Linked DNA regions of Kluyveromyces lactis. The main gene of each other region encodes a partner of the protein of the gene in region 3 in a complex. Links are inferred from orthologs where the notes say so. Each region holds a gene or a part of one and is shown on either strand. Other genes may lie near its edges.

Region 1 (2,973 bases), on a different chromosome or scaffold from region 3:
CTGGCCCATTAGGTTTGAAGAAAGATCTATTAAAGAAAGTTCAAGAGGCTTTACCAGAAGAACATTTCAACGATACTCAAATCCAAGAACAGATAAGATCGTTGAATGCTATAATGAGCGATAAATATAAGAATTATTATGCTGTAGGGGACAAATTATACAAGCCAGCAGGTAACCCAATTTATTACAAAAGATTGCATGACGAAATCGAAGGTAAGGGTAAGGAAACTTTCTTTACAGCTATGAGAACTGTCGTATTTGGTAAGTAATTTCGGTTTCAGGGTTTTAGAGCTTCGTATGCATATATGTATATATCATTTCTGTCTTTTTCGTTTCTAGTGTATCTGTACTGTACAGGCCTCCATACACTGACTGTAAATAATTTATATTCAATCTATTCTATTTATTCTGTTTATCTGTTGCTGATAAATGTACTATTAAAGCGTAGATTGTTGGTTCCAGTTCCGACCTGTGAACGCTTTGAATTTATTGATTCGCATTGAAATGTAGAATCATTTCTTGGCGTATCCAATCTTTATCGTTACATTCTTGAATGGATGATCATGACCTAAGGTTTCAACAACTTTAGTGGCATTTGCTGTAGAATCATATTCAACAAAGCAAAGATTTCTGACACTGACCAATCTAACCTCTTTAAATCCATCTGAGACAAATAACTTTTCCAATTCTTGCTGAGTAACATCTTTTGGAAGATTTTGAACCAATAGGACATGGTGAGGGGGATTTCCGACAATGTCAAAGACTTTTTTAGTGGAGGAAACTTTCTCCGACTGCTGTGACATAGCAGTCTTGTTGGTACCTTCAGGATTTGTTTTTCTGGGCTTTGAAAGAAGCTTCTGTATGGTTTCTTCGTCCAAATCCTTCTTTCTAAGCTTACTTCTAGCTCTTCTTAACCTTCTTTTCAACACTTCGTTTTTTGTCTTGGTCTTGGGCTGTGAATTATCCACAGCTTTACGTGTACGTAACCGAAGTTCATCCTGTAGCTGTTTCTGTTGTCCCTGGTAGTACAAAGCTGCGAAAGAATCCGTATTCGCCAGCTTTATATTTATCTTTCTCCCATTAATCTTGAGCTTGCCTTGAAATTCTATAAGGAACGTATTACAACTGTCTGAGTCCTTAAAAGTGACGAAACAAGACCTCCTCAAGGGTCTTGAGCCATACCTTGATACCTCTATGATCTGATACTTTTCATCGAGTACTGGTGTAACCGCATCAGCCTCACTAGTTTCTTTCTTCGAGTTCAGATCGAATCTTGTACTAACATCATTTGAAATAGAACGATGATCTGAATTAACACTTGATAGTAGTAAGGCTCTGAATTTGGACAATGAGTCGGGCCTCGACGGTAGATTCGACAGATATAAGGTACTGACCATTGCTTGCCGATAGATACTAGCTTTGTATGGCATGTGTAATAACCTAATAGAGAAGGATATCACAACCTATTAACAAATAGTCCATACGTATTAGTATTAGTAAATTTGTTGACAATGAAAGTTGTTGTTACGTTAAGTTAAGATTATATGAATAACTAAATACTAAATAGAAATGTAAATACAGTGAGAACAAAACAAAAAAAAACGAACAGAGAAACTAAATCCACATTAATTGAGAGTTCTATCTATTAGAAAATGCAAACTCCAACTAAATGGGAAAACAGATAACCTCTTTTATTTTTTTTTAATGTTTGATATTCGAGTCTTTTTCTTTTGTTAGGTTTATATTCATCATTTCAATGAATAAAAGAAGCTTCTTATTTTGGTTGCAAAGAATGAAAAAAAAGGATTTTTTCATACTTCTAAAGCTTCAATTATAACCAAAAATTTTATAAATGAAGAGAAAAAATCTAGTAGTATCAAGTTAAACTTATTTCTTACCAGCCTTGACAGCGGCCTTGGTGACCTTACCGGCCTTGTCAGTCTTGTCAACGGACTTGATAACACCGACAGCGACGGTTTGTCTCATGTCTCTGACAGCGAATCTACCTAGAGGTGGGTAGTCAGAGAAGGCTTCAACACACATTGGCTTAGATGGAACGAACTTAACCAAAGCAGCATCACCGGACTTCAAGAACTTTGGAGAGTCTTCCAACTTCTTACCGGATCTTCTGTCGTTCTTTTCCAACAATTCGTCGAACTTACAAGCAATGTGAGCAGTGTGACAATCCAAAACTGGAGAGTAACCAGCAGAGATTTGACCTGGATGGTTCAAGACGATAACAGTGGCGTTGAAAGAAGCAGCAGCCTTTGGTGGATCGTTCTTGGAGTCACCACAGACGTTACCTCTTCTGATTTCCTTAACGGAAACGTTCTTGACGTTGAAACCGACGTTGTCACCTGGTAGACCTTCTTCCAATTGTTCGTGGTGCATTTCGACGGACTTAACTTCAGTAGTAACACCGGCTGGGGCGAAGGTAACAATCATACCTGGCTTGATAACACCGGTTTCGACTCTACCGACTGGCACAGTTCCGATACCACCAATCTTGTAGACATCTTGCAATGGCAATCTCAATGGCTTGTCAGTTGGTCTGGATGGTGGTTCGATAGCGTCAATAGCTTCCAACAAGGTCTTACCCTTGACGACACCGGACTTGGTTTCCTTTTCCCAACCCTTGTACCATGAAGCATTGGTGGTGGCTTCAATCATGTTGTCACCGTTCCAACCAGAGATTGGGACGAATGGAACAGTCTTTGGGTTGTAACCGACCTTCTTGATGAAGTTAGAGGTTTCCTTGACAATTTCTTGGAAACGAGATTCATCCCACTTAACGGAATCCATCTTGTTAACAGCAACAATCAATTGTCTAACACCCAAGGTGAAAGCCAACAAAGCGTGTTCTCTGGTTTGACCATCCTTGGAGATACCGGCTTCGAATTCACCGACACCACCAGCAATAATCAAGATAGCACAGTCAGCTTGAGAAGTACCAGTAATCATGTTCTTGATGAA
Region 2 (2,319 bases), about 660 kb from region 3:
AGAGGCATTAGCCTGGAAAAACTCTATTTATTTCTCCGGCAGCATCGATGGATGTGAAATAGAAATCGCCGGACTGCGTAATACATTTGTGGTACAAAGAAGGACATCAGTAGAAGATAAAATACTAAAGCTGAAAAGTAACCATGAACAGAATATGTCGAAATGGTATTCGCTACACTCACAGCTTAACATATACCTTGACACGGTACCCTTATCAACAAAGACTAGATCAAACTTAATCGATCATGTCAATGGTATAATAAAAAGAATAGAAATGGTCTCATATCAAAACGAAAGACTTGATATATACGTTAAACTCTTGAAGCTTGTATTTGGTCTGGAACCAAATCCAAGTGAATATAATCGATACGAAGCCAATTCCATCGAAGAGAGTTTCTTATTTAACCAATAATCAAAAAGTTTTGGCCAAGCTTCGATCTCGGAAATAGATTGAGCGATGGTTCAATGTTTTTACCGACTAAAACTTTAAAAGTATCATTCTCAGAATGCCATAAATTGGAAACGATGGAAATTAAGAATTCATGCATGTAAATATACAACACTGTATCAGCGTATGAACAGTAAAATAACAAATTATAGTTCCTTAAGATAGAAATCGATATCCTATACTCCTTTGCCGGTATCCGCCGTCTTTTTGTTATATAACCTGTCCGTCTTATTGCTACCCACATTCAAAATTCTGGGACAGCCATCTCGGCTTCGTTCAGATCTGTGGCAGTCCCAACAATATAACGCTTCATGCGTTCCAGGACTTCCGCAAATTATACACCTGCTTCCACTACTTCCAGAGGAGCAAGAGTCGCATATCCGTACCTTAGAAATTAGCCTTACATCTGAATCACATAAGGGACATCTTCCATCACATCTATCACAAACCTTCCCTACAGAGGTTCCAGGAAGTTTCATGCACATAACCAAGTCGTACTGATGGCGAGACATCTTAATCCAGTGATAATAATAGTAATATAAATAGATTAATAAGACCTGACGGTGTATGGGGAAAAACACTTAGTTTTCTGTTCTTTGTTTTAATATGTGGGTTCTTTTAGTTTTGATATCTAAGGTACAATTTTATAGAAGATGGGCTTAAGTGGCAGCCGTTGATTTAAACAGGAACTGATCTACAGGATAGGCCAAAAAAACGAAGAAAAGTAGGTTTGGAAACCGTTCATATTATATGACCCTCCGAGCAACTACATTATATATCACAAGATGATTGAAATATGTGGTATTTGTTTGGAATCTATGAATGAAACTGATCAAGGGGAGCTTTTACCCTGTGAGCATAGATATCATGTTTCTTGTATTAGGAAGTGGCACTTATATTCGAACGATTTTAAGTGTCCTACATGCAGAAAAGAGTCCAAAAGCCTTCGCCGTAAACATGATGATATCGAGATTGATTTGAAGTACTGGTGTAATGTGTCGTTGATCGAGCAGTTTGCCAAGCTTCGATTACTGAATGATGATGAGCAAGAAGCAGTAGCAGCGATAGAAGAGGAAGAGGAAGAAGAAGAAGAAGAAGAGGAAGAGGAAGAAGATCCTAATGGCAATGGTGACCAGGATACACTACAATCGGAAGAGATCGGACATCAGCCACAGAATAATAATGGCATGCAGGGAGTAGAGCTCTTGCAATGTGCCTTATGCGGTGAAATTGATGATGACATAACGTTATACTGTGAATCATGTGAGACGTTATTCCACTCTTCATGCCTGAATGAGTTATTGTGCGAAGTCGGTGAGAAAGAATGGTGTTGCATAGAGTGTGATGGTACTCTTTGTAGACTACGTGGGAACAAAGTATCTTCAATGGTAATACGAGATTCGAACGTGAGAATTTACGATGGAAGGATGAGAGATAAGCGAAGTATTCTTACTGAATGCATTTACAATAGATTCGCACAACCTTACACCATCAGTTACGAGGACAAATGCAGGATACAAGGATACGTACGAACAGAGTTGGATAAATTCTACCACCGCGGATCTTTATCGAAGGATCGATACATCGCCATAAACAAAATGGTGTCACGGAAGTTATATGGGTTATCTTCAACTGGGTTCGATCCCAGCAGGATAAATTACGAGGAGCAGGCTAGGCTCTCCATCAGGGAAGTTATGTAATTGTTAATATATTTTGATATCTTTTTGGTAAATAATAATTCTGCCTGTGCATATTGAAAGTTACCATTCGAAACAGAATGCTAGTCCCATCAGCAATGGTATTCTATATCACGAAATATAAAGCTTATCTTCTTCTAGAAGGTGCCTTAGGTTTATTGAATTTTGGTTTGG
Region 3 (2,746 bases):
CGCCAAAGCTTGCTCATGCTTCATTGAGAACAGATGACTCTACTGTGCCAGCAGCTGCAACTTCAAGCTCGAAGCAAACCGCTCCTGTGCTAACACCAGCTCCAGTTCCATCTGGTTCAAACCCATGGGGTATATCTCAAGCACCCACACCAGTTTCTACTATTTTCAACAAGACTTCTACTTCTACCACTTTCCCTACGTTGTCAAGCTCCTTGGGGGAAACTCTGAACAGTCCAGGTCCAGGCACTCCTACGACCACTGGATCTGCCCCAACAGCAAACTCTTCTTCTAACGTAAGTTCGAAGAAGAAGGGCGAAAAGACATACGAGGATCCTTACGATCCAATGGCAACATGTGTTAAGTTCCTAGATCAAACTTTTAAGTTTTTATCAGATATTCCTGAAAGAAGCTACACATTCAACTCCAACTTATTGGATGACGAAACATATCAAAGTTACCCATCACTTTTTTCATTTGAGAAGATTGGATGTAGTGAGCAATCTGAAGGTGTCTTGGGTGCCAAACTATGTGATTTGCTTACTATAAAACCTGTGGACCACATGTCCTCTCTTCTGCCATTCATTCAAAACAAGGCTACACCTACCATGTTACCACCGGGAATTGCTGTCCAGCAACCACAATTAGTACAACAGCAGAAGCAGCAGCTACAGCAACAGCAATTACAGCAACAGCAACAACAGCTTTCACTGCAAATGCAACTACAAGCCCAACAAGGCATGGCGCAGCAAGGCATGGCGCAGCAAGTTATGAGCCAGCCACAAAGCAATTCTTCCGATCTACTAAATCAATTAATTCACGGTAAGAAACAGACTGCTGCCGTATAATCAGTACTCAGTATGATTCCAATAATATTTCTTTTACGAAGTTAGCATATAAATAAATATATATATTCATGTACATTCATTTATTTTTCAATATAAACCGTTCCAGGTTGTTAGATAAACAACTGTTTCAATTTCATTTTTCCAAATCAGACCTTGTAATCTACTGTCTTTCTGGGTTCTTCTTTCTGTCAAAGGCATTCACATTAAAATACATATTTTGACACACTCTTTTTAAGGTTTTTCCATCAATTATGTGAAAATTGTAACATTTAACATCTAAATAGTAAAGATGCGCCAAAAATATGGAATATAATTACATACACTTTACCTCAGCGCATACACCTTAACCTCGATACTGCGGTAAGCGCATCAATAAAGATAATATTGGCACATATCCATTCCAATTAATAGATGAAACCACAAACGAGGAAATACAACAGGCATAATGGCTTTCACACTTTGACCAAACTTCCGTCTTCAGTATCAAAGTTATTTACACAAGGTCCACCATTACCACCATCGAGAGTGAGAGTAAGGCGAAACCAGAACAAGAAATATGCACTCACTGGTGTATCAGCCGTGTTGCAACATGTTTCAGAGTATAAGAAGGCAACCCATCCCGTATCAGAGAACCAACACTTGAAAGTATATGATGAAGCCATGAACGAATCGCACAAAGAACAGGAGGAGTTGATGAAGAAAATACAAGAGTGGCACCCTGAATCAGATGCAAACATTTCTAGTGACCCCTACCGCACATTATTTGTCGGACGGTTACACTATGCCGTAGACGAAGTTGAACTACAGAAGAGTTTCGTCAAATACGGCGACATTGAATCGTGCAGAATAGTAAGAGACCAAGACGGTAAGAGCCGAGGATACGGTTTTGTGCAGTTTACCAGTTATGAAGACTCCAAACAGTGTTTCAGAGAGCTTGGTGTAAGGAAGGGAATAGAAATCATGGGCCGAACATCCATCGTTGATATAGAAAGAGGCAGAACGGTGAAATTCTTCAAACCTCGACGTCTAGGTGGAGGATTAGGAGGACGAGGTTACCAAAGGAAAGATCTCGTAAATAAATTAACTGGTGCTTCAACAAGACCGATGCATGAACATGCTAGAAGACCCATCAGAAGACACGATACCTTCGAAAGAAGAGGTCCTCCACAAGGGCATTCCCATTCTTATCAACCAACTAGTCCAATATCCTCACCTGCATCAAATTTCCAAAAAACTGCAAGTTCTAGCTACCGATCAAGGAGGGACAGATCTCGCAATGATACTTCCAATGGTTCTACAGACACATTGATGTATTGAGATGAGATAAAAAGACACATCAAATAGCACGTGATCAGAACTGCTGCAGTGATCTATATACATTTTCATATATATTCATATAAGTAGCCATACAGATGAGCCATGGCTAAATGTTATATGTACTTCCTACCATTTCTACCTCTGTTCTCATATCTACGCAGTTCTCCTACATTGTGCCCACTGGCCAAGCATAACTGAACCACTACCTCTGTATGCATGAGTAATTTCTTGATCGATGACTGATTCCAAAATAACGATGGAAAAAATTATTCCAGTCAAACAAAAAAAAAAAAAAAAATGGCAACTCAGCGAATCGCACATATAAAGAAAACCGTTTTCAGTTTCCCATTCGCTAAGTATTTCCATTAGGTATCTAAAGTATGAGTTAACTCGTAAAGTACTGAACAGCATTATTGTCTAATCGAAGTTAAGACCAGCTCTATCCATCTGCAGGACAAATTAAAGGGTTTGCAGGAAAGTGTTGATACCTGCCTTTTCAGTGATAGTGAGCCAAGCCAACTGTTTTATCTTCTTTAAAGGATTTTGATTAGATAAAGAAGAAGAAGAAGAAGAAGAAGAAGAAG

What was found.
Region 1: SNP1 (region 3) and MUD1 share a complex: the UniProt entries of both Saccharomyces cerevisiae proteins name them as parts of the spliceosome. The link is inferred for Kluyveromyces lactis from reciprocal best matches to the Saccharomyces cerevisiae genes SNP1 and MUD1.
Region 2: SNP1 (region 3) and RDS3 share a complex: the UniProt entries of both Saccharomyces cerevisiae proteins name them as parts of the spliceosome. The link is inferred for Kluyveromyces lactis from reciprocal best matches to the Saccharomyces cerevisiae genes SNP1 and RDS3.

Annotation. Positions count from the first base shown.
Region 1 is NC_006038.1:785,610-788,582, forward strand, and holds MUD1 (Mud1p), read right to left. Parts: upstream 1,431-2,973; coding exon 513-1,430; downstream 1-512. Other genes in the region: CBP6 (Cbp6p), read left to right, coding at 1-269; TEF2 (translation elongation factor EF-1 alpha), read right to left, coding at 1,888-2,973. UniProt on the Saccharomyces cerevisiae protein: Involved in nuclear mRNA splicing. The principal role of the U1A is to help fold or maintain U1 RNA in an active configuration. It is the first snRNP to interact with pre-mRNA.
Region 2 is NC_006039.1:1,359,056-1,361,374, forward strand, and holds RDS3 (U2 snRNP complex subunit RDS3), read right to left. Parts: upstream 961-2,319; coding exon 625-960; downstream 1-624. Other genes in the region: Arf family guanine nucleotide exchange factor SYT1, read left to right, coding at 1-412; ubiquitin-protein ligase ASR1, read left to right, coding at 1,234-2,148; twinfilin TWF1, read right to left, coding at 2,273-2,319. UniProt on the Saccharomyces cerevisiae protein: Required for pre-mRNA splicing. Involved in regulation of drug sensitivity and may play a role in multidrug resistance.
Region 3 is NC_006039.1:703,615-706,360, reverse strand, and holds SNP1 (U1 snRNP complex subunit SNP1), read left to right. Parts: upstream 1-1,256; coding exon 1,257-2,162; downstream 2,163-2,746. Other genes in the region: CCR4-NOT core ubiquitin-protein ligase subunit MOT2, read left to right, coding at 1-845. UniProt on the Saccharomyces cerevisiae protein: Involved in nuclear mRNA splicing.